6 linked regions of the Oryzias latipes genome follow. The protein of the gene in region 3 interacts with the protein of the main gene of each other region in a pairwise test. Links are inferred from orthologs where the notes say so. Each region holds a gene or a part of one and is shown on either strand. Other genes may lie near its edges. The genes, in order: janus kinase and microtubule-interacting protein 2, cnksr1, pin1, cep76, dab1 and supt5h.

Region 1 (3,608 bases), on a different chromosome or scaffold from region 3:
AAAAGTTTTCTGGGAAGGGAGAAGACACTCTGATGATGATGATCTGCTTTTATGCCTTAACATGCAAACATGCTTTGTCAATAAGTCAGTCAACAAATGGCTGTAAACGAAATTTTTTTCTCTTATGTCAAAAAGACTGAATGAGATAATTGCTAGAACTCGATTACACTTGTTTTTGTGAACAATGTTAAGTACGGTCTTCTCTTTAAACAGGGCCTAAAGGAAGGACAGCACTCGCTTTGGGCAAGCACCGCCCTTTCAGTATTAGTTTGTGTGGCTCATGGAACTTGTTTCTTCCTGTTTAAGACTATAAATTAAAAAAACAAGCAATTTTGATGTCTTCCCCGTTGTTTTACTAGAAGAGCCATGAAAATTTATTACTGATAATAGTATCTTCTTTATTGTGATAAAATACAGTGAAATTCATTCACAATGTGAGGAAAAAGCTCTCACAACACTTGGGAGAAACAGCTGAACAGAGGGGTCTTGGTGTACTTAACCCTTGTGCTATTTTAGATGACCCCACCCTTACATTGACGTGTTCTCCCTACCATGACAAAGGTGGATAAAGGTGAAGAGGATTTCATGTCATCCATAGACACCACTGAAGATCACATATCACTGATTAAAAAAGTTCAGCGCACTGTCTAGTGGGGTCCAAATGACCCAACTCCCAATGTTAAAGTGCCTAGGATAGCACAAGGGTTACAAAATTGGTTCTAAAACCAGTCTCTCTAAATTTTCCGTCACACTGAAAATTGGCAGAAGTGCTGGAGAAAATGGCGATTAAATTCCAGTCATTTCAGAATCAGAATCAGAAATTCTGATTCTGAAATGAATCAGAATCAGAATCAGAATCATTTAAAGTCAAACCTACCCGTGTAAGTTCATCAATCATGTTTTGCTGTTCCAGGACTTGAAGTTTCAGAAATGTGATTTCCTGGTCATCGTGGGCTTGGTCCAAGTCATTCAGTGACTTTAGCTTCTTGAGAGGAGGATGGGAGCTCATTCTCTCTTTCTGCAGGAGCATGCAAGATGTTAGATCACAAAATCTATAAATCTGTTATGGATGCTAGCGTACGAACCATTTCCAGATTCTCTTTTGTCAGGTTCTTCAGCTTCTCCTCCAATTTTTGGATGGTCATCGTCAAGTCGTCATTTCTTTTACTCAGCAGTTTGTTCTTTTCAAGCAGAGGCTTGCACTGCTTTTCTGTTTCACGAACGCGCTTTAGCTAGTAGAGAGAGACATAAAAAAAAAGGGAATGACCAGGAGTCAGAAGATGGGTAGTCTAAAGGCCTGTCCAAAGTCCGTCTTGTGGGCCAAATAGGATCCTTGGGCTTTTGCCATAAATATGCAGCCCCAGCACTTTCTAAGAACCACGATTTCTTGATTGTGATTGACTAAACTGCGTTTTTAAACCTGTGGCACCAACCTGACCTTCAGAGCCTCTTTTTGTTCTCTGATCAAAACTACAGTAGTTTGTACTTCAGTTTAATATCACTATTTGTTATTTTCCTGTTCACATGATTTATTTTTAGTACTTAATAGAGAATAATATGTGAAATTTCATGTGAACCCAGATGTGACAATGATCCCGTTGCGCAAGAAAAAAAAAATTGTGAAATTGTTCATTTATATTTTAATGTTCAAAGCATGCAGGCTGATTGGTTGGCCTCACACATTTTCACCTCACCAAATCTGGCCCTCTTTGAACAAAGCTTGGACACCCCTGATGTTAGGTTAAGGCCAAAAATATTGAAACAATGGGTTAGATTTCACTTTTATTTGTAGAACTTGGTCATACCAGTTCATTTCTCTCATCGCCCAACAGTGAGTTGCGGTCCTCCAACCTCCGTATGGTTGAGTTCAGGTCAGCAATGCGCCTCTGATTCCTCCTCAAGTCCTAAAGTGAATTAAAAAGGGAAAAAAAGGCATCCAGGTTTACCGCATGACCAGACATCATACAAAAGGTAGTTAAAATAAGAGGCTAGTATAGTTTATTTGAAATAATGTGAATGTTTGACTGGCTCCAAAAATGCGTGGCTTTGTTCGTACAGGGCTGCCGTGGTGCTCGGCTCCATCTCCAGCTCTGCCTGGAATCTCTCTTTTGGGACTTCCCAGGCCGCACTCGGCCTCTTTGGCTATAAACAGCTGTTCATCCAGAGCATCTTTCTGGAGCTGCAGCTTCTGCAGAAAGCCTGTCGTTGACTCCAGTTCCTTCTCCAGAGCAAAAATGGTGCGATCTTTCGCCTTGATTTCATCTACCTAGAAAGAACAAAAATACTGGTGTCATTAGATCAAATGTTCCAGTTTTTGTCTTCGTTTTGATTTAACCGGCAAAGTAAAATTAGAACCAGTTCTCAGAATCAGAATAAGCACAAAGACCACAGAACATTTACATGTCTTAACAGCTCATAGGCCATAAAAGTATGACATAGGCAAAGAAACAAGAAATCTGCTTCTTGAATTTTTTAGTAATCAGGCAGGAGATTTTGTTAATTAAGTTATTTAGATTTTTTTAGTACTAATTTCATTAGGGGTGCAACAGATCATAAAACTCAGTTTGGATTGTTTCACAGCTTTTTAGGACCAGTAAAAAATAAAATAAGTCAAGTTATACCATGGTCCGGGTGAATACTCGATTCTGATTGGCTGCTGGGTGTACATTAAAAAGTGATACCACAGTGATAACCGCATGGTGAAAAAAGAAGTTCAGGTCACCTAGCTTCAATGTTTTGTATCACTTCTTTGAAACAACCCTTTGCTTCATCATTTGGAAAAAAAACAAGCGGTAAGAGGTGAACTTTCTCTCTGAATTGATGCTTTATTCAACCCATCGGAAAGATCAGCATTATATATATATATATCGCCAAATCTTGAAACTGGTTAATATGTATTGCTTTTGTAAGTGACCATGGCATGAGCGGGTTAATGGCCTTCGCCATTAACGCACTTCGTGGAAGCATCCGTCGGACGGTTCAGCCTTCCACGGCGTGCGTTAAAAAGTAATAATGCACACTACGTCGGCCATTAACCCTTACGTACACGTTGTGTTTCGAATCGTGGCTACTGATCTGTACGAATCACAGTTCAGCCAAGATTGGTTGCCCCTCTAGAAATCATAGTTTTTTACCTTTTTTTTTAACCACGTTATTGTTTACCTATAGAGCTTTTTTTGCTAGAAGTATCTTAAATAAGAATTTTGCCTTTCAACTGTTAAGACAATGCACCAAGAATATTCCACATCAAGAGTGTATTTTCATTTTAGTTCAGTTGTTTCAAATTGATTGGTTTTTATTTCAAGCATTTTTGTGCATACCAGTCTGCGAATGTCCCGCTCACAGTCCCACTTGATCTTGGAGATCTGTTCCTGATGCTGCTGGTGCTCCACCCGCAGGTCCCCAGCCTTCATCTTGTCTGCCTGGATCATGTTGCTGAGCGCCTCGTCGGTCTGCTTCTTAGACGACTTCAGCTCTGCGATCTCCTGCAGGAGCTTCACTCTTTCCTGGTCAAAGAAGCGGCGCGCCTCTTCTTTTGCCTCCAACGTGAGTGCGGTACGCACCTGAAGAGCAGAAAGATACAGTGTTCTTGCATCTCTTAACAGCAA
Region 2 (3,608 bases), on a different chromosome or scaffold from region 3:
TCTTAGTCTTCTACTACCATACTCCCTACTCATCCCAGAAACAGCACCAACAACTTCCCAAACGCAAACATATTTAGTTCTGCCTTAGTGATTCTAGTAACTGTGTCATTGTGTGTCATCATATATCTCTTGAGCATTAGCTTGGGCATGAGTGTGTGTTTGTGGAATAAGTGTGTGTACACAGGCATTGGTGCGGTTCGTTGGATTTGCCAGTCATCCCATAGAATTACAAGGGATGTGATGTTGTTTCACAAACCTCCAAGGATTCCTTTTGTTTGTGTTTGAATCACCCTCATCACATGGGATTTTCATTTAGTCACAATTTATAAAAGCCCGTTTTAATGAATTAATAACAAAGCTACGAAGGCCTAATTAGCATATTTAGACCTCATATTGCCTTTGGCATGGTTTAAACATGCTCATTAAAGAGCCACTCTGATGAAAATTGTGTTTGTGGTGTTTTTTTAACTTGGTCTTGAAGCATTTTTCTGATGATGGAGGGAAGAAAATTAAGCTTAAAATTGCATTTCTAAGTATTTCTTTATTCAAATCTTTGTGAATCAGGAGGTAATACTGTTTGAAAAAGTTTGTAGCAGTGATGTAGAAGCTACTACGGAAGCTCTGGCTCAAAATTGCACACTGGATGTCTGCAATATTTCTCATCATTTTTACTGCACCGTTAATGTTAGGTTTGGGGGTGGGTGAGGGACTATAAGCTAGCGGGAGAGCGTGTAAACAGAGGGATGATGGGAAGTGGGTGCAGGCTTGCACCTTGGCAACAGTGCCACCCACAACACAAAAGTTTCTAATGAACGTCTGCCGCTCTGCAGAAACTATGTTGTAGAAAACAACACAGCTTATTTGATTTTGGCAAAAAATGGGATAATCATAATTAAAAGACCACAGGGAAACGCTTTGAAAATGGATTACGGTAATAGATTTCCAACTCAAACTAACTCTGTTACTAAACTTTTTCCTAAAAATCAAATAATGTAGAATACCACAAACCAACAAAAAGTGGACAACAGAACACATTTCTGAAATGTTTCTGTTACACTGATGTTATCTTAGGTCCTACCAGGGTTTCTGTAATTCAGACAAATTTAAAAATATGTTCTGGGAAAGTGGCAAAAAATGTGCTGCATGACTGCATGGTGGTTTCAGATTCAGTTTCATCTAAAGCAGCATTGTCGCATCATTAGTGAAGAAATAATTCAAAGTATTATGTTTATGTAACGATGTGCCATACGTTTTGACAATAATGTCAATCATTTTACCAGAAGCATGAATTTGAAAAAAATCTGAATATGTCTGGCCGTTTTAATGCTGATTTTAAATTTACATATATATAAGAAGCAGAGATGGTTTACTTCTTCAAAGGACCACAAAAGTCCCAGTTAATATCTGGAATTGCCCTCTCTTTGCCTGCGGGCACTTGTGGCTTTGTACTTCCTGTCTCATGCTGTAAAGAGGAAATATGACACTGGCTTTAAGTCAGATTGCCCCATTTCCACAAATCAATACATTTGTTCATAGGCTGGGTTGTTGTCGTTGTTTTTTCTTTTTCTTTGGTCACACTTTCATGTTCTATTTTTAAATAGGACACCACAGTCCACGAAAAGGAAAAAGACATCATCCCTGTGGTGAGGTTGCTTCTAATTTGCATTATTATCTACCTCTGCCTCCTATCAACCTCTGCTGCTAAATAATTTCAACCTTTTATAAAAGACAGATTGTGCTTTTGTCTCATAGTGCCGTCAACTGGTGGCGTTTTGTGATGAGATCCTGAACTCCTGCCCTGAAGCTCTTCTCGCCCAGTCAGCTCAGCTGGAGAGCGTGGACTTGGTTCTCGTGTCGCCTGGTGATCAGCTGGTAAAAACGCCTTCATAAATGACCCTTTTGTTTAGAGTCTCCATGAAAGCAAAAAAGAAGATAGAGATTCTTAAAAGCTGCTGATATTCCTAGCTGCATTTTATTCAATAGGATCACTACTTTTAGAAATTGTTATTTTATCCAGTAAATAAAAGAAGAAAAAATGAGAATATTTCACAAAAATATCTAAGATTTAACACAAGTTTCTAACCTTTTGGGTGCTTCTGTTTTTTTTAATTTCTTTTTACTATTTTGTCTTCTTTTTTCTTAGCCGCTTTACTCCGAATCTTCTTCAGCATTTCTCTCTGCTTCCATCACTCCTGCTGCCTTTATCATTTTCTTCCATTCAGAGCTTCCATCGCCTAAATCAAGGTTCTCTGTGTTCTTCTTTTATGCCTCCTCCTGACTCGTTATCCACTGAATAGGATGTGCCTTTTTGTGCTGCTTCTTCTCATTTTGCTTTCAAGTTCGCACATTCTGTTCTATAATTATAGCTTTCTTCCTACCCTATCCACTGTTTCTTTCAGTATTTAGCACTAAGGACCAGTTTCCCTCTATACAATGTGTTCAGTTTTTGTTTGCTCTGTCCATTAAGGGAAATCTTATGTTAAAAGGCAGGTCCATGTGATCACTCTCGCCACACTTTGATGCATAAAGATAGCTTTCGTTTGTGCCTCTGTGAATACCTGTCAAAGGTTTTCAAGGACAGGCTTTGTAGCTAAATAAATAAATCTCAAATTAATCGTTATCGTTATCGCAATATCAAGCTGTGCAATACGCATATCGCAAAAGATGGCTAAAATTGCGATAAATTGTTACTTTAAATGTGCTAAAAAAATTCTTATGGCAGTTTGAAGTATTTAACGAATCAAATATATCCAATATATCCATTTGACCAATCAGATGGACACCTTCACATTGTTGACCAATCAGATGGAACCCTTTTATGTCAGATGCTCACCTCCTACGTAGACAAGGGTCATTTAGAGTATAATTTAATTCAAATTCAAATTAATTTTATTTATATAGCACCTTTCATGTAAAAAAAAAAAAACAGCTCAAGGTGCTGTACATAAAAACAAACAAGAATGCAGAAAACACCAATCCCCATTCATGCAATAAAATAATTAAATAAGTAAAAGAGAAATGACTAAAGAAAAAAGCTAAAAAAGAGAGAACCCAGAAGGCGCCGTCTGCCCTGTCCTCCTGTTGGTCGGGGTGACAGATAGACACAAACACCCCAGCTAACACTCGTAAACACTCTAACTTGGCTAAGAGACATTAAACAAATAAATTTGTTAAAATATCGTAAAATAAAAGTAAAAATTCTAGATTAAACAAATATGTATGTGATGAAATATCATAAAATGGAGTAAAAGTTCTACATTAAACAAATAAAACAAAATGATGTGATAAAACATCATAAAACATAAGGGTTAAAAAAAAAACGATAATTGGTACGTTGACTCTTATTTAAATTAAACTGTTGTAGTGAAATGGAAATAATGTTTTTGGTTGCAGTGCTATTTGTTCGTGCATCACAAGTTTTATCGTCATCGCAGTATTGATCATTAATATCCCTAATTGTGAATTTTCCTCATATCAAGCATCCCTAATTAAAAGGGAATTTTAAAGAAAACAGCCCGATTTTCTTATCATTACTTTCTGTGAATTCTTAACAAGTTATAGCAGAAACTAAAGAAAGAGGAAGTGTAAGACCAGATATGATCTTAAAC
Region 3 (4,174 bases):
GGCGACTTATAGTCCGGAAAATACGGTAGACACATTGTTATGTTTAATAAACTTTACAGTTGTTAGTGCTACTAGTCATTATCTTTTTTTTTTAATCAGGTGGGTGATGAGGTTTGAGTTAAATGTAGATCATGAATGCAAACATGCAGACGTAAGCCAACTTAGACTAAATTGGGTATTTTAGGAAGACTAAAACTAAATTGCATGTTTTCTAATACGTATAATATAAGCATTATGTGTAATTTCTCTTCAGTTTGGCATTTGTGGGTTGATTCAACAGAAAAGACAACCCGTGCCAGAGTAAGTGATAAGAATTGTCCTGGCAAATGCAACAAAGCAATGTTGAGAGACCAACAAATAGACAGAGTAAAAAAGTTTATGAGGCTTTTGCTGGAGAGGAAACCTTATAAACAGAGTTAATTATTAAGCATTTTTTAACTAAAATTAGAAAGCATTTTTACTTAAAAAACTGTAAATATTAGGACAATACTACCTTATAACTACATAAAAGCTGAAGAACTAAAACTAAGAAAACCCAATATTCCCATTATGATGTTGGTACCTCTGGCAAACAGTCCCAGATCTCCACCGTTCTTAGCTGAGCTGCAGTCGCTGAACTGAGAGGCTAGAGATTCAAAAGACTCATGCCCAGATTTGATTTCGTCTATGTACTCTAGAAAACAGAACCAAAAAAAAGACAGATTAAGTAGAGATTTGAAACAGATCTGGTGTTTCTGTCCTCTGCCTTACTTACTCTGAATAAGCTCTATAGCCTCTTCTTTAGTTCGTGTTATATTTTGTTCCCTCCAGGAAGAAGGACGTCGAGACTGATTATGTTTTACTAGGAGGTGGGAGCATCGCACCTGAGAGAGAGAAAGGAGGAAACACAAAAAGATACACAATACATCATCACCTATTTGTTAGAAAGTGTTATAAAATGTTTCTGTGCAGGGGTGTAATGACTAATTGACCTGATCAATCAATCGATTTATATTCCTACGATCCAAGCAGAACAATCTGTCTGAGGCATTTGTTAATTGAATCGATCTATTACATTATAAAACTGTTTCAAATTAAAATAAATATATTATTTCCATATCGGGAAATACCATTTGGCTTAAGGGACGGTTTACTTTACTATAACATAATAACAACCAAGTGTTAGTTAGATTGAACCAATATTGACCATAAAATCGTACTGGAAACCACAAGTGATCATATGAATTAGACCTGCACAACAAAACGCAAATGTATCATTATCGCAATTTCAAGCTGTGCAATTCGCATATTGCAAAAGTCGTCAAAAATAGCAATAAATGTTTACTTTAAATGTGCTAAAACAAATATTGGAGTATTTAACGAATCAAATAAATTGACCAATCAGATGGGGCTCTTTTATTTATTTATTTTGAAGCTTTTCTTAGGTTAGACGTTCGCCTCCTATGTAGACGAGGGTCATTTGGAGTATAATTTAAGTTATGTTGACTCTTATTTAAATTAAACTGTTGCAGTAAAATGGAAATGATGTTTTTAGTCGTTTTGCTATTTGTTCATGAATGTTTTATCGTCGTCGCAATATTGATCACTAATATGGCGAGTTTTCCTCATATGGTGCAGCCCTAATATGAATGTCATTAAAACTAATCATTACCGGTACATCACTATCACAAGCTCTACAAATACTTCTTTAGTGAATTTATTATGATTTCAATCCTAAATGTATTGCTAATAAAACACACAAAATGAAGTCCACCTTATCTGGCTCTCCACGGCCATCTCCCACAGGACGTTCCCACTGGCTGGCATTAGTGATGTGGTTAAAGTAGTACACCTTGCCTACAAACAGCAAAGAAAGCAGTTTGATCAGCACCTTTGGAATGATCCAAGACATTAGAAGACACAAAAATCAAATTACAGTTTACATGACCTTACCCACTAAAACTGCAAAAGCACTCACAATTCCCCGTATCGGTATTATTGTTGTTTCATAGTAGTTGGTCATGAAGTTGCATGGTTTTGAATAAAACCAATGCATCAACTGCTGACAGTGTTCAATTTAGTTTATAGGTCTGCAAAAAGCTGTTCCTTTGCAATCCTTCCTTTTTACTCCATTGAAAAGAAACACACAAATAAAACAGAAAAAAAAACACCTAAAGTTTTTACAAGGCAATCATCTACCCAAACAGATTTTCTGTAAAAGAAGAAGAGAAATCAGATAAACAGACGTATCTGCAGAAATAAATCACATTTTGGGGGGGATCTGAAAGTTTAGTAGATTTCTCAAAGTTAAATAATTACCTATATATGAAAAAAATGTAAAGTGATCTTGTTTACAAAATATTCCCCAAATTGTCAGTTTTACTGTGCGTATATATTCACAAAATACTTTCAAGACATCAGGTCTAAGCTGCGTCTGCGCAAATTCCAGGTGACGTCATGCAACGGCGGCCCTGCAGAACATCTCCATTAGAAAAAAAAGTGGGGGAAAAGCTAGTTATAAAGCAAACCGTAGCATAACCGTATTTTCCCAGCGGCACTTTTCCTGATAGAAACCGTGTCGGTAACCCCGATGCATGCATTAGCAGGACAGCCTCACCTGAAACAAGTTCACAAAGCCTCGCTTACCACGATGCACGGGCTAGCTATAAGCTAAATCAACTTCTCGTGGGCTGCAGTTGAGCTCATACATTCAGCCTCCCCCGTCTTATGTATATTTACCTGAACTACGGCTCATTCTTTTCTCCCATCCCGACGGTAAATTCTCCTCGTCTGCCATGTTATCTGCTGCAACGTTATCAAGTTAGAATTCAACGTTCAAACGATGCGACACGGCTACGGCTCAGCAGGTACGACAGTCGGTTTACGGCAAAAGTTGTTTTCTGAGTTTGGCCCGCCCCCAAACGGCTTGTCCGTCCTACTATTGGTCTTCAACTCTTGTCAATCATATTTCTTACTATCTAATTGGTTAAGAGGACAATAACACGCGACATCGATTCTACGGTGATGAGCACCGAGAGCTTTCCAGAAGGTTTCAACTAGTGAAGAAAATCCATCAATCTTGGGCTACATTTAACGTATGTTTTACACTTTTTGATCTTTTTAACACGTCTGGCAACATTTTTGAAACCTTAAGTTGATCTTAATAGGCGCCATCTAATTTATGTTTTATATATTTAAAAGAGTTGTGTGCACAAGCTAACGGGTTAGCTAAAAAAATCATGGCTGGTCGAATTTCATCGTCAATTTAGTTTCTGCTGTTGACGCAAAATGAATTACACATTCTTTTGACTTAATGTTAGTGGTGTGAACGATTAATGTCGTTCCTGTTCATAACTCCAATATTTCAGCTTACTAGCTCCTCTTTTTTTCACAGTACACGATGATTGAGGTGATTTGCAACGATCGTCTTGGGAAGAAAGTCCGGGTCAAGTGCAAGTATCCTTCTGAACACATTTGATTTGCTGATCTGCTAAAGATGTTTTGGCTGTTAATACTGCACTGCAACATGCTGGTTCTGATTAGTTAAGGGGGGGGGGGGTTACTGTGCTATGGTCCATCCATAGCACAGTAACCGTGCTATGGATGGACCCTTTCCTTATGAACCCATTTGGGGTTCATTAGAATAACCATTTGGGCCTACATTAGAATAACCAGGTAACCTATGAATCATGTATTTTCGACTGTGGGAGGAAGCCGGAGTGCATGGGGTTTCTCTGCAACAAGCAAACTCCACACAGAAGGGTCCCAGCAGGGTTTGGAACCAGGGCCTTCCCCATTGCACCATCATGCAGCTCTATTTAAAATCTAAAGACTGAAAACATTCAGGACATGAAAGCTGGAAGTGTTTGTTTTGAAGGGTTTTCCACGTCACCAAATTGCTCCTCAACATCCTTGCACAGCTCAGAGGACACAATTGGAGACCTGAAGAAACTAATTGCAGCACAGACGGGAACAAGATATGACAAAATTGTACTAAAGAAATGGTAACTTTGCCTTCCTTTGCCTTTTTCTTCTTTGCATCACAATGAACATTGCCCTTTTTGGCTTCTTTACTTAGAAAATGTGTTCTTGTTTTAATAGGTACACCATCTTCAAGGATCACGTGTCTCTCGGTGACTGTATCCTTTTGACGCACTGACTTGACCTTTACTAAGCTGATGCAGAAAGGACCGAT
Region 4 (3,608 bases), on a different chromosome or scaffold from region 3:
TTGAGTCTGAACTTCATCAGCCTGCTGATGGAAAGATTCATCAAAACCTGCAACTTGATGTTACCGTTTAAGCCCAAAAGAAAGTGCAGGTATATTGAGGTCCCAAATGCCTCTTTTGTGCATATCCTGGACTAAAGTCAACCTGAAACCCATTGGAATGAAGTGAGAGACTGGCCTCAGTTACAGGATGATAAAGCCACAGGTTGGGGGAGCTCATGTATGAAAAAGGCAGAAAAGGAAAGGTTTGAAGAAACATGGAAACAAACTTTGATGCTATTGCCACAGACCAGAAAACATCAACAGCGTCTGAAAGTCAGACCATCTGTGTTGTGGATGTTCAGCAGCAGACACCCACCTTTCCTCGACACAGAAAAGCCATCAACGTGCACCACTGCTCCTGCTTGCCCGTTCCTCCTCCAAGCATCGGAGCCCTCTCGTGGGCCAGCAGGCTGACGAAGCGGGCAGCGTGGCGCGAGCTCTCCAGGAGGCGGCCAGCCCGGAGGACACGCACATAAGAGCAGACGGGTCGGTTTACGCCGTTCTCGTCCTGCAGACACACAACAGAAGCATAGGGCTAAACGTTCTGGAAAAGAACTGAAGCAAACAGAACATAAAAAGCAGCAGATATCGGTAATTTCTAGAATCATGCATCATGATTTGAACCAATCTCCTCCCCAAAAAAATGTTTCCAGATACAAAAGGAAGTCTGATGATGATCTGATGATCACAGCAAGTGAATTATCAGTTAATGACATTGCAGCTGTAATTTTTTTTTAATAACATCTTTTTTTTAAAATATCTCAGAACTAACCTGTGCAAATATTTTGACCAGCTTGGACTGATGAGACGCCCGAATCTCCAGGAACTCTCGCCACCATTGTTTAGCATAAACCAAGAAGAGCCTGTCCTTCTCTGCCGTCCTCGTCCTCTCCAGTGACTGCTGCAGGACAATCACACACGGGTCACAGAAACACAATACCTTCCAGCTTCTTTTGGTTGATACAAATATCCGATATTTAAACCTTTGTTTTGATTTATTGAAGAGAAACACCAGAATAAACCAACAAAAAGCAAACACTTCTACATCAGGACTTGGCAAAAAAAACATTAAACAAAATGAGAGAGCGAGTCGTTTAAATAAACTCCATTTATTCTTCTGGCTTCCAGCAGTTTCTATCCCGTCAGGGTTTTCACTAAGTTACTTTAGGGTGCCTTCATTAAGAATCAGAGTTTGGTGATTCAACGGATGGTTTCAGAAACTTGATTTCAGAAATGCTGCTGACCTGTGTGCTGATGACATCTGCACTTAGATTCACAGCTGGAGGAGGGTACAGCTCCAGGTTGACTGTCAGAACACCAGCTGGCACTTTGCATTCACTTCCTGTGGTTCAAGAAATTATTAGTACAGCATAAGCGTTTATAAGACAAAAAAAAAACTTGTTTTACTTTTGGAATCTACTTGAAGAAAGATCCCCTCCTCCACCTTTTAAGGTTTCTTTTTACCGCGTGTTTAAGCATCTCTGGTTCAAAATCCAAATATAAATACAAGAAAAATGTCACTTTAAAACATCCATAAAAAGGCAGACGTATGCATTTGACTGGTGCTATAATCTACGGATGTGTATTGCCAAGAGTCTGATCATACTATACGTATCCCGACGTTCTACCAGAACACTTCTTTTTTATTTTTATTTTTTTTGGGGGTATCACTTAGAAAAAACTACCTGAATATTAATGTCTTCCATAGTGATGAAATGGTAAAAATCCATTTTATTTAATGATCACAATGTTAAGCACTGCAACTGTATCTCAAATTCACACTGCTTTTGTTTTGGTAAGTTAAAATATAGAAAAGGAACAGTATACTTTGTCTGATTTCCACAAAAAAATATATTTCAGTATAAGAAAAAAAAAAGAATGAATGTGCCTTAACTAATAAGGTTCTAAAAGTATGATTGACGAAATAAAGTGATGTTTATTTCCAATATTGGTAAATGTAGCTTCTCCAGTACTTTTCAATGGTTTAGGAGCCTGAACGGTGCTTCAAGAATAAAGGGGAAAAACATCAATAAAGTGTTATGATGATGATGCAGCAGCATGACAGATGAAGGAGATGCTTTCATGTGGCAAAGATGCTTTATTTCCATGACAGTCTGCTCTGCAGCTGCAGCTCAGCTTTCTCGCACACCATCGCCATGACGTTGGCCTTGTTTCAGAGCGTTGTACACATCACTCTGATCCATCAGGTCGCTGGACTACAATCTATTGCTGGGAGGTTCTGCAGAACTTTAACCCGCTTTGCTGAGAGTGTTTTGACTGATGCTCCGTGCATTAGTCTCTGCACAGCCTGGGCCTGGTTAACTGTACAATGACACTTGGTCATCCAAGTTATTAAAAACAACCTTTTCTGTTTATCCATTTTTTTAAACCAAAATTGGCCCCCAGTCTAATGCAGAGTTCTTCATTTGGCCCTCCGCTACAAAAACTTTGAGAAACCCTGGTTTAAAGGGTCTGTATCCAGCAGAATCAACTTTTTAAGCTTTTAAATGTATAATAATGTTCATTCCTCACAAAAAACAACCCCAAAGCAGTATTGTGATCCGTTCACACATCTCTGAGTATTCCTCTAAAAACCTGCGTTCTGAGCCCCAGCCCCTCCCAATCCACAAAAATGGGTGGACCCTCACATTGCAGCATTACAAAGTGAGGAACAGCCCCTTCCAGGAAGAGTCTGCGGTGCCAACCCACCCCCACGCTAACACACACACCCTCATTCAGCAGCTAGCAGAGCTTGGAGATCTGGAAAACAGACAGGGTGGTAGAGCTAAAGGACCAGGAATGAGCAGCCCTGCTCCACAATATGAACATCCATCTTTGCAAAAGTTCAGATGTTGTTTGTTTTTGTGGGTGAAAGGCAGACATGCTGCCGAGGATGATGTCATGAAATGGGCGGCACCCACAAGGACAGAAAGGCGGAGCCGCAGAGATCGAGACGTTTTACTTCCAGGTAGGAAAATGACCTACAAAATTAACTCATTTAAAAATAAATTCATTCTTTAGTGTGCCAAAGGTAATATATTATTTAAAAGTAGGGGTTGCTTATCCGACCATAACAATCAGGGTGGCTTACCAACTCCCATTAACTCCACAGCAAAACAAGTCTTGCTGTTTGTTGAGCTGAGAACTGGCCTCCAATCCAGGAAATAGGACGACACCAGCGTCGTCTCACCAGAAATGTCCGTCTTGATCAGGACAAAGTGGATAGGGTCGCATATAGACAGCATAGAGGCTGCATCCATCACTTTACCTCCATCTTTAACAAGAAAAGAAGTCATGATTAGGTTCAAGGAGGAGATGTATTTTTTAAGCCTGGAACCTAAGTTCAAGCTCATCTTCACTAACCTCTAAACAGTTACTTTCCTCCTACCTGCATTGTCCCTGCAGAGTTCCAGGAGGAAGTTTTCCCTCATGTCTGGTTCACAGGTACAGGGCACAGGCTTAGATCCAAACCTCTGGTCGCGGAAATGTAGGTAGAGTGTAAACGTAGAAGACACCTGACCAGGTAACGGCTGTGGTTCCTGCAGGTGCTCCAGAAAGGCCTTCCCACC
Region 5 (3,608 bases), on a different chromosome or scaffold from region 3:
TTTTAAAGCAGAAACAACACAGGAAGAGCTTGTGAGTACCTGATATATGCTTTCCTCTGATTGGTCATGGATGGGCTCGTGTCCCGCCTCAAACACAATGTACTACAACATCAGCAGCAGAGGGGGGAGGGAGGGCAAAAACAAAAAAAGAATCGCAGAAGAAGAGTTGCAAGATGAGAAATTGAGAGAAAAGTGGTGAAACTGCAAAGGTGGTTAGTCAAACAGTTTTCTGACATTTGAAATAGTTGAAGAAAAGTCCTCTGTGAGACAAGGACGGCTTACATGGAAATCACAGGAAACCTTCTATACTCATGCACACACAGCCACGCACAGTACTAAGTGTTGTACTACCGAACACAAACAGGATCTGTCTCCCCACAGTGCACACAGAGGAACAAGCTGAAGTGCAGCAGGTGAGAGCAGCAACGTGATTGGACAGGAAGTTACCTGGTAGACAGGGTCCTCCAGATCCTCCTCCAGGATTGTCTGCATAAGAGCGGCGGCAGGAAAGAGCAGGAGAGATCAAATGGGAGGAGAGAAGACAGAAGAAAGGGAAGAGGCAGAGAGTTAAGCCGGTGGAACAGGAAAAGGAGGAAGGAAAGCGCAGGAAGCCTTCCCTGCACTCAGGTAATCATTTGGCGATCATCAGCAGAGGAAAGAGACGTTCACAGGGAGGAGGGCAGAACAGAGGAAAAGAAAATAAGCTATGTGTACGGAGGATTTGTGAAAGCAGCGGCTCCTCGTGTCCTTCTTTTATCTTGTTTTGCTCTTCACTCAAGAGTCTATTGGAAGGAACCCATTGTGTTCATGAGGCCTGGTTCATAAAGTGGTTTGAATACAACAAGAGAGGGCTTGATGGAGTACCTGGTAGACCGCCTGCTCACACTGCTTATCTTTCTGAGCCTTCTTCTCCATCTCCTCCCTCTGCTTTATGTCATAGATGAGCTGAAATAAGTCCCGCAGGTCCAGAATCACAGGCTCCGCCTACAAAAAGACAAGAACGCAGTAAAGCAGGACTTTATCCACTCAACTGAACTGAACCTTGCACTCCCCCACCTTGGAACTTAGTGTAATAAAGGCCAACTGTTGGCAGACACACCCACACACACAAGAAAGGTTAACACTCCCCCACAGCAATGTAAAAATCACAGAAACACAATGTTCAATCATCTTATTTTTCCATCAACACGCTGGATTGATGAGTGATGAGGAAGAATCGCGTCCCGTCTGATGCTCGAGTGGATGTTTTGTGCTTTGCTTTAAAGCCATTTACTGATTGAATTTGCTTATTTCAAGATGATTGGTGACCTTCAAACGCTTGGCTGTGTGCAATTTTGATGTACACGCTGGTTTGCTCTGTTGCTTTTTCTCCTTATTCTCTACATAAATATGCTTTTTCAGATGTAAAAGGAGTTCTGTGGTTGTGACTGCATGATAAAATAATCTACCACCTTTTTTCCTTTTAAGCTAGAAATAATATGAATAATAGTGAAACTGGCAGAGTAAAGTAAAGAAGCATTGATATCTTTGTGTAGTGATTCTCTCGACCCTTTAGAAAAGACTTCGATGAACCGTCAGCTTTATACTGTCAGGACAAAGTTTCTGACTGAAAAGTCGAAGATGAATCCAGATAAGAAACACTTGACACATTAGATAAAGTTCACCTTAAGAATAAACCTCACAAACATCTGCTGATAAATGACTGAACTGAGCTAAATCAGGCCTGAACGTTTCTCCAGGGAACTTTGGAGGATTTGCTCAAATACATTAGACGCAGACATGCAATGTGCTTGTTCCAAATCCTTCATAACAGGCAGCAAAGCCCCTCAGCAGATAGCTGTCTGAGCTGCAGTGAATCATTTCAGAAAATGAAAGTTTCAGACTGTGTCAAATGAGTGTTGCCGTCAAACGGTAGCGACCTGAGGTTAAAGAAGGCCACACCATGACAGCAAAGAGGCTCTGCGGCATGTCTGCACAAACTGCCTTCTATGGATACGATTTTCACATTAACATAAGAAGATATTAGTCTCTCTTCTTACCTTGCTAGAGAAGCAAATGCTATTGGAAGCAACCACTTGTTCACAAAACCGCTGCCACAGCACAAAGACAAGGAGACTACTGGTGCAGCAATGATCGACCTAATCAATTATTGACTTGAGCTGTGCGGGGACCTGACTGAGTTCATGGATAGATTGCTGCATTGCATGAAGTAGTTTTGTTTCAGAATCTCTGAGATTCTCAGCTGTGAGTCAGTCATGACACATGCTGTGGATCTGTCTCCCTGAACCAACAACTTTGTACACATTTGTCTGATTCAAGGCTGGAGGGACATGAGAGCACCGTCAAACACCACAAGCACATGCACAATCAACCGTGTCACAGTTACAGCAAGGTGTGAGGAACACCAACAGCTACACAACGTAGTGTTGCATCTGCCTTTCTGTTTTTAGACTAGATTTGACCACGCTGGAAAACGTCACAGTAGCTATGAGAGATTCAGAAGAGATAAGAAAAGGAATAAGACTTTCCAGGAGGTTGGTATGAGGTTTTTATGAAAACCTTTTCTTGCTGGTGTAATTGATGTAATGCACATGTGTCAAACTCAAGGCCCGGGGGCCACATGTGGGCCGCCATGTTATTCTATGTGGCCCGCAAGAGCATAAAAATGTTTAATTTATTAAAATAAAATTTTCTTTAGTTGATTACATATTATTTATTTGTTGCTTCTGATGTAATTATTCAATGTTTGCATGTCTTATGTGTGTATGCAGACAAATTGTTGTCATCAAACCATCAGTTGGATGCAAGGCTGTGTGCAGCCTTTTTTTTTGTAAAATGTTACACGTGTAACACATGCTTTTTCTAGCTCAGTTTTATCTTATTATTATTTATTCACTTGGATAGTTTGATCCTTTTCTATGCAACTGTAATTCTCACTTTAAAACGTTATGATAAATAAATAGTTATTTAACATTAAGGAGTAGTTACATTTGTTTTTCATTACATTTAGTTTCATGTATAAGTTATATCTGGCCCTTTGAGGACAGACACTATGCTGATGAGGCCCTCTGTGAAAATGAGTTGGACACCCCTGATGTAATGTAATGGATGTGCCTTACTACCATTTAAACATTCACATGTCTTATTTTATGTACACTTCTGTTTGATTCTACTCAATCTATGGTGTTCCAAAGGTAGCATGCATCAATTCTTCAACAGTTGCATCAACTGGAATTTTATTTTTTAGTCTTTTGTTTTTTTTTAAGTTGTTTTTTTGGGGGAAAAAGAGAAACATCTGAAGTGCATCAATCAAACACCACTAGACACATCGTTTTCTGCATCTAAAGGAATTCTTTTTGAGTTTCTTTCTGTTTCTGAGCTGAACTTTTGTTTCTTATTTCTGCATTTGATCCCCATAAGCTGTGCCTAGCAGACAGCTACTCTTCTCGGGGTCCTTCAAAAGAAATACGCCATACGTACAGCAAAAAAATTCATCTAAAACATCAATTCCACTTTATGGTAATCTTGAAGATACATAATGTAAACACATAAAATTCCCATTTTAAATATCATAGAAAAGGAGGGCCTTTACGCTTTAAATCACACAA
Region 6 (3,608 bases), on a different chromosome or scaffold from region 3:
TCACAGCTGATTGGTGGATGAGCGTTCACGTACTTGACACCAGGAAGCAGCTGCTGCTGGGTGATGTCATCAGAAAGCTCCTCGGTGCCGCCATAGTAACTGAACAAAAACAGAGCAGATTTCACTTTGTTGAAACCCAAACTCAGGAAAATCTGGAACAAACTTTTTTTAATCCTAAAAATGAAGACTTGATTTTCTTTAGAACATTGGAATATTTAAAGAACAAAGACTTCAGTTCTCTTTTGGACGTTTGTCCGTAAACTGCAGTCCAGGGTTAGGATTGAAACTATTTCCTCTCTTTGAATGACAGCTCTTTTAAGGTGGTTCTACAGGTGTTTTTAGGTGGTACCTTTGCTTGTTCTTACCGGTGTTGTTATCTTTTATAGCACTTTCCTAAACTGTTGTTGTGTTACATAAATAAAGTAACAGGCTATGTTACTTCCTAATGTCTCTTTCTGAAATATACAGATGTTCTTTAATTCAGTGGTCCCCAACCACCGGGCCGTGGACCAGTCCCAGTCCCAGTCCCAGTCCCAGTCCGTGGGTCACTTGGTACCACAACAAAAAAATAAATATAAAGAATTCCAAATGGTCACATAGACTATTTCTGTTTTGTTAATAATCTGAGTCTGAAGTAAGTTTCATTTTGGAAAAATATGGGATTCTGTCCACAACATCCATCTATGACTTACTCTAGGAGCTCGGCTCGGTCACTTCGGCTACTGCTGCTCTACCGTTAAATTAAAAAAAAGACAAAATGTCTTTGGAAGGAAAAGAGCCAGAGAGGATCTGCTATTCACAGATAAAACCAGGAGTTCTTCCTTGAAATATGGACATTTGTTGTTCCTACGTACCAAATCCATGCAGCATAACATTAGACGAATGGCTATTGTTACACCCAATGCTGATAATAAAGTTATGAAACACAATAGATTCATTTTCTGTTTCTGTCAAAACACGTTTTCTTCTCCCTGCGGTTCCCAGTGAGGCCGTCTTCACTTACTGCTCTCCGGCTGAGGACTTGGCATACTTCCTCATGTAGTATTCTCCCAGCGCCTCTTCTCTGGAGTCCCTGAAACACAGACACAGCGGTCAGCCGCTCAACCACAGGCACATTTTGGGTTCTGGACAGCTGTAGAGATCGATTGATTTGTTTTTTTTCAGGGCCAATGTCGGTTATTAGCATTCAAGAACCATGTTTGGAGCCCACATTTATCTGCAGTAAAAGTGAAAATATTGGGATCAAACTTTAAAACACAAAAAAAAAAAAAAAAGTCAATAAAAAAAAAGCATATAACTAGCTCCAAGAAGTGCAGGGAGTAACGGGCTGAGCAGCATTGTTTATTCGATTTAAACGAAGTTATTAAGTTATTCACTTCAACAAAATGACTTCTCTGTGAAAGTTTGAAACATAACAGAAAGTGCAGGTGGCGTCTTATAAGGTCAAATAAATAAATAAATGTGACTGTTCCATTGTCAGAAATCCCAGTTAAGCTTTCAACAGCAAACCAAGACAAAAGCAAAAACAGACGGTTTTCCTGCTGCTTATTGTTGTGGAGGAATAAAACACAATGTTTTAATCATCCAGAAATCCTCATGCGAGGCCCAATAAACAACAACAAAGGAGGAGCGTCCAAACTAAACAATGAGGCCCGTTACCTCCAGAGGTTCTGCAGCCGTCTGGATCCAGAATGATCATCTTCCAGAACCACGCGGTCCAAGTTGGACACTGAGGAGATGAGGAGCATTTACATGATGAAGAAAACGTGAAACCTCGTTGGATTTTAGGCCAAAACAAAGAAACCGGCCTTACCTTCAGCCTCTTCTGCTCCAGTGAAGAAGAGGAGGGCAGACGGAGGCCAGAGGAAGGAGAACCGACAAAACAACACAATACAGGTGAATGGAGGAAGAGGAGAACATCCAGGATCAGCCAGCAGCAACACAAAGCATGATGGGAAAACAAAGTGAACAATGGTGGCTGCAGCACAGAGAAGCATGGAGACGATGAAGAGCTGGATGTGGGCTGAGAGGACGCCTCAGTAGAAACAAAGCTCTGCTCTTCCTCATCGGTTTAGAGACTTCTCTGCAGTCATAGCAGAGCAGAGTTCATCTTTTACAGGTTTCTGTTCTGGCTTCATTTCTGAGTGCAGATGAGATCCACTGCAGCTCAGAAAAGATCCTTCCTCCACCGATCCACTGGAAACCCTACATGCAGTCCAGCTACAAGGAGAGAAAACGCTTTTTCTGAGGAGGTGATGGAGCTGAGGATGCTGAGGAGAACCAGGAGCTGGAAGGCCTACAACCTGGTTCTGAGTCCAGATGGACTCTTTCCCCACCGAGCTGGTTTCAGTTGAGAGCCAGGACTCAGCTGAAGCTCTTTAGTTTACTCCGCCTGAATTCCAACTCCTGCTTCTCAACCTCGGCACGTTACTGCTGGGGTTGGGGGCGGGGCTACCTGGCTGCAGGAAACAAACGCTTTTAGAAAAACAGCTGGTCCAAGAGGACACCAGAGGTTTCTGTTCTCGCGGTCGTTCTCTTGATAAGCTTCGAGTCAGACAGTCGGTGGAAATTAAACCTAAAAAACAACAGACAACTCGTTCAGTCCCCACTTAAGCTCTGCCCCTTTCTGTCTTGAAACGTCCAATGGCGTAATGACTAGGTTCTGTGGAACAGACGGGTTCTGTGGAAGTACTGAACCCGTGGAACCGGAACCAGCTGAGCAGAAACAGAAGGTTTGTGTTTGGTGGAAGAGGCAGATCTGGCCTCCAACCCTGAAACCAGCTCAGTAGAAATTAAAAACAGGTCACGGCCACGTCTAAACGTTTAGTGGAAAAAACGGCGCCGGATTTCTGATTTCAAACCCCCGAGATAATAAACAGAAGAGCTTTAAATGAGCTGCTTGACTCAGAGCACGGTGGAGAAATCTGAGGAGAACGTTCAGCTGCAGGTTTGCTCTCTGGCTGCAAAATGTCATTGAATAGACATCTGCTGGGTTTTCAAACTGACAACATCTGGAACTTTGATTACTGAAGGCAAAGACTTCCTGACTCCATCGTTCTGTTGAAATGCCCTCTGGCTTCTTCTAAACAGCACAGCCACAATGAGGCGGGTCAGCACCAGGGATGCACGATGACGGACAGCTGTCTTGCCTCACTTCCTGCTGTTGCTCTGACCTCCACCGCACAAACAGATGTTTGCTGGTTTTCTGTTAAACCTTCAGGGCAAACCGTGCATCCCCAGTGAGACCGGTCTGGGACGAGGCTGCTGTCAGATGGGGCGGGGACACACAGATGTTTGGGGTGATGGATGTCAGAGGCAGAATCAGGATTACCGTTAGCTGAGCGCCACCATCATGGCGGCGAGGAACGGCGAGAGACAGAGAAAGTGCAGTCAGAACTCATCGGAGCAGCAAACACACAACATCACATTGCGGTTCTCTTCCTGACTCGGGTCCATTGTGAACCAGAAGTCCTACCAGCCTTTTTTTTAACTCACAAATACTTTTTTTATGAAAGCCACACTTCCTCACGTCCGGAACAACACAAAGTTACACACAACATCAAACTGGCTCCACACATCTTTAAATTCCCAATGAACTGAAATGAGCA

The links.
Region 1: the proteins of pin1 (region 3) and janus kinase and microtubule-interacting protein 2 interact in binary tests that used the Homo sapiens proteins (3 or more experiments, as listed by UniProt). The two-hybrid records come from large-scale screens. The link is inferred for Oryzias latipes from reciprocal best matches to the Homo sapiens genes PIN1 and JAKMIP2.
Region 2: the proteins of pin1 (region 3) and cnksr1 interact in binary tests that used the Homo sapiens proteins (3 or more experiments, as listed by UniProt). The two-hybrid records come from large-scale screens. The link is inferred for Oryzias latipes from reciprocal best matches to the Homo sapiens genes PIN1 and CNKSR1.
Region 4: the proteins of pin1 (region 3) and cep76 interact in binary tests that used the Homo sapiens proteins (3 or more experiments, as listed by UniProt). The two-hybrid records come from large-scale screens. The link is inferred for Oryzias latipes from reciprocal best matches to the Homo sapiens genes PIN1 and CEP76.
Region 5: the proteins of pin1 (region 3) and dab1 interact in binary tests that used the Homo sapiens proteins (3 or more experiments, as listed by UniProt). The two-hybrid records come from large-scale screens. The link is inferred for Oryzias latipes from reciprocal best matches to the Homo sapiens genes PIN1 and DAB1.
Region 6: the proteins of pin1 (region 3) and supt5h interact in binary tests that used the Homo sapiens proteins (3 or more experiments, as listed by UniProt). The link is inferred for Oryzias latipes from reciprocal best matches to the Homo sapiens genes PIN1 and SUPT5H.

Annotation. Positions count from the first base shown.
Region 1 is NC_019872.2:5,582,698-5,586,305, reverse strand, and holds part of janus kinase and microtubule-interacting protein 2, read right to left. Parts: intron 3,564-3,608; coding exon 3,321-3,563; intron 2,267-3,320; coding exon 2,057-2,266; intron 1,905-2,056; coding exon 1,806-1,904; intron 1,233-1,805; coding exon 1,086-1,232; intron 1,019-1,085; coding exon 878-1,018; intron 1-877.
Region 2 is NC_019880.2:9,395,405-9,399,012, forward strand, and holds part of cnksr1 (connector enhancer of kinase suppressor of ras 1), read left to right. Parts: intron 1-1,601; coding exon 1,602-1,643; intron 1,644-1,752; coding exon 1,753-1,872; intron 1,873-3,608. UniProt on the Homo sapiens protein: May function as an adapter protein or regulator of Ras signaling pathways.
Region 3 is NC_019859.2:22,494,227-22,498,400, forward strand, and holds the start of pin1 (peptidyl-prolyl cis-trans isomerase NIMA-interacting 1), read right to left. Parts: upstream 2,878-4,174; 5' UTR 2,847-2,877; coding exon of another isoform or gene 2,822-2,846; 5' UTR 2,777-2,821; coding exon 2,719-2,776; intron 1,837-2,718; coding exon 1,754-1,836; intron 864-1,753; coding exon 755-863; intron 674-754; coding exon 563-673; intron 1-562. Other genes in the region: ubl5 (ubiquitin-like protein 5), read left to right, coding at 2,822-2,846, 2,971-3,074, 3,374-3,435, 3,900-3,983, 4,081-4,118. UniProt on the Homo sapiens protein: Peptidyl-prolyl cis/trans isomerase (PPIase) that binds to and isomerizes specific phosphorylated Ser/Thr-Pro (pSer/Thr-Pro) motifs.
Region 4 is NC_019874.2:5,540,966-5,544,573, reverse strand, and holds part of cep76 (centrosomal protein of 76 kDa), read right to left. Parts: coding exon 3,428-3,608; intron 3,314-3,427; coding exon 3,131-3,313; intron 1,382-3,130; coding exon 1,284-1,381; intron 941-1,283; coding exon 812-940; intron 548-811; coding exon 356-547; intron 1-355. UniProt on the Homo sapiens protein: Centrosomal protein involved in regulation of centriole duplication. Required to limit centriole duplication to once per cell cycle by preventing centriole reduplication.
Region 5 is NC_019862.2:3,573,507-3,577,114, forward strand, and holds part of dab1 (disabled homolog 1), read right to left. Parts: intron 985-3,608; coding exon 865-984; intron 487-864; coding exon 448-486; intron 103-447; coding exon 40-102; intron 1-39. UniProt on the Homo sapiens protein: Signaling adapter of the reelin-mediated signaling pathway, which regulates the migration and differentiation of postmitotic neurons during brain development.
Region 6 is NC_019871.2:949,630-953,237, reverse strand, and holds part of supt5h (transcription elongation factor SPT5), read right to left. Parts: intron 3,338-3,608; coding exon 3,332-3,337; intron 1,826-3,331; coding exon 1,814-1,825; intron 1,730-1,813; coding exon 1,660-1,729; intron 1,073-1,659; coding exon 1,004-1,072; intron 100-1,003; coding exon 34-99; intron 1-33. UniProt on the Homo sapiens protein: Component of the DRB sensitivity-inducing factor complex (DSIF complex), which regulates mRNA processing and transcription elongation by RNA polymerase II.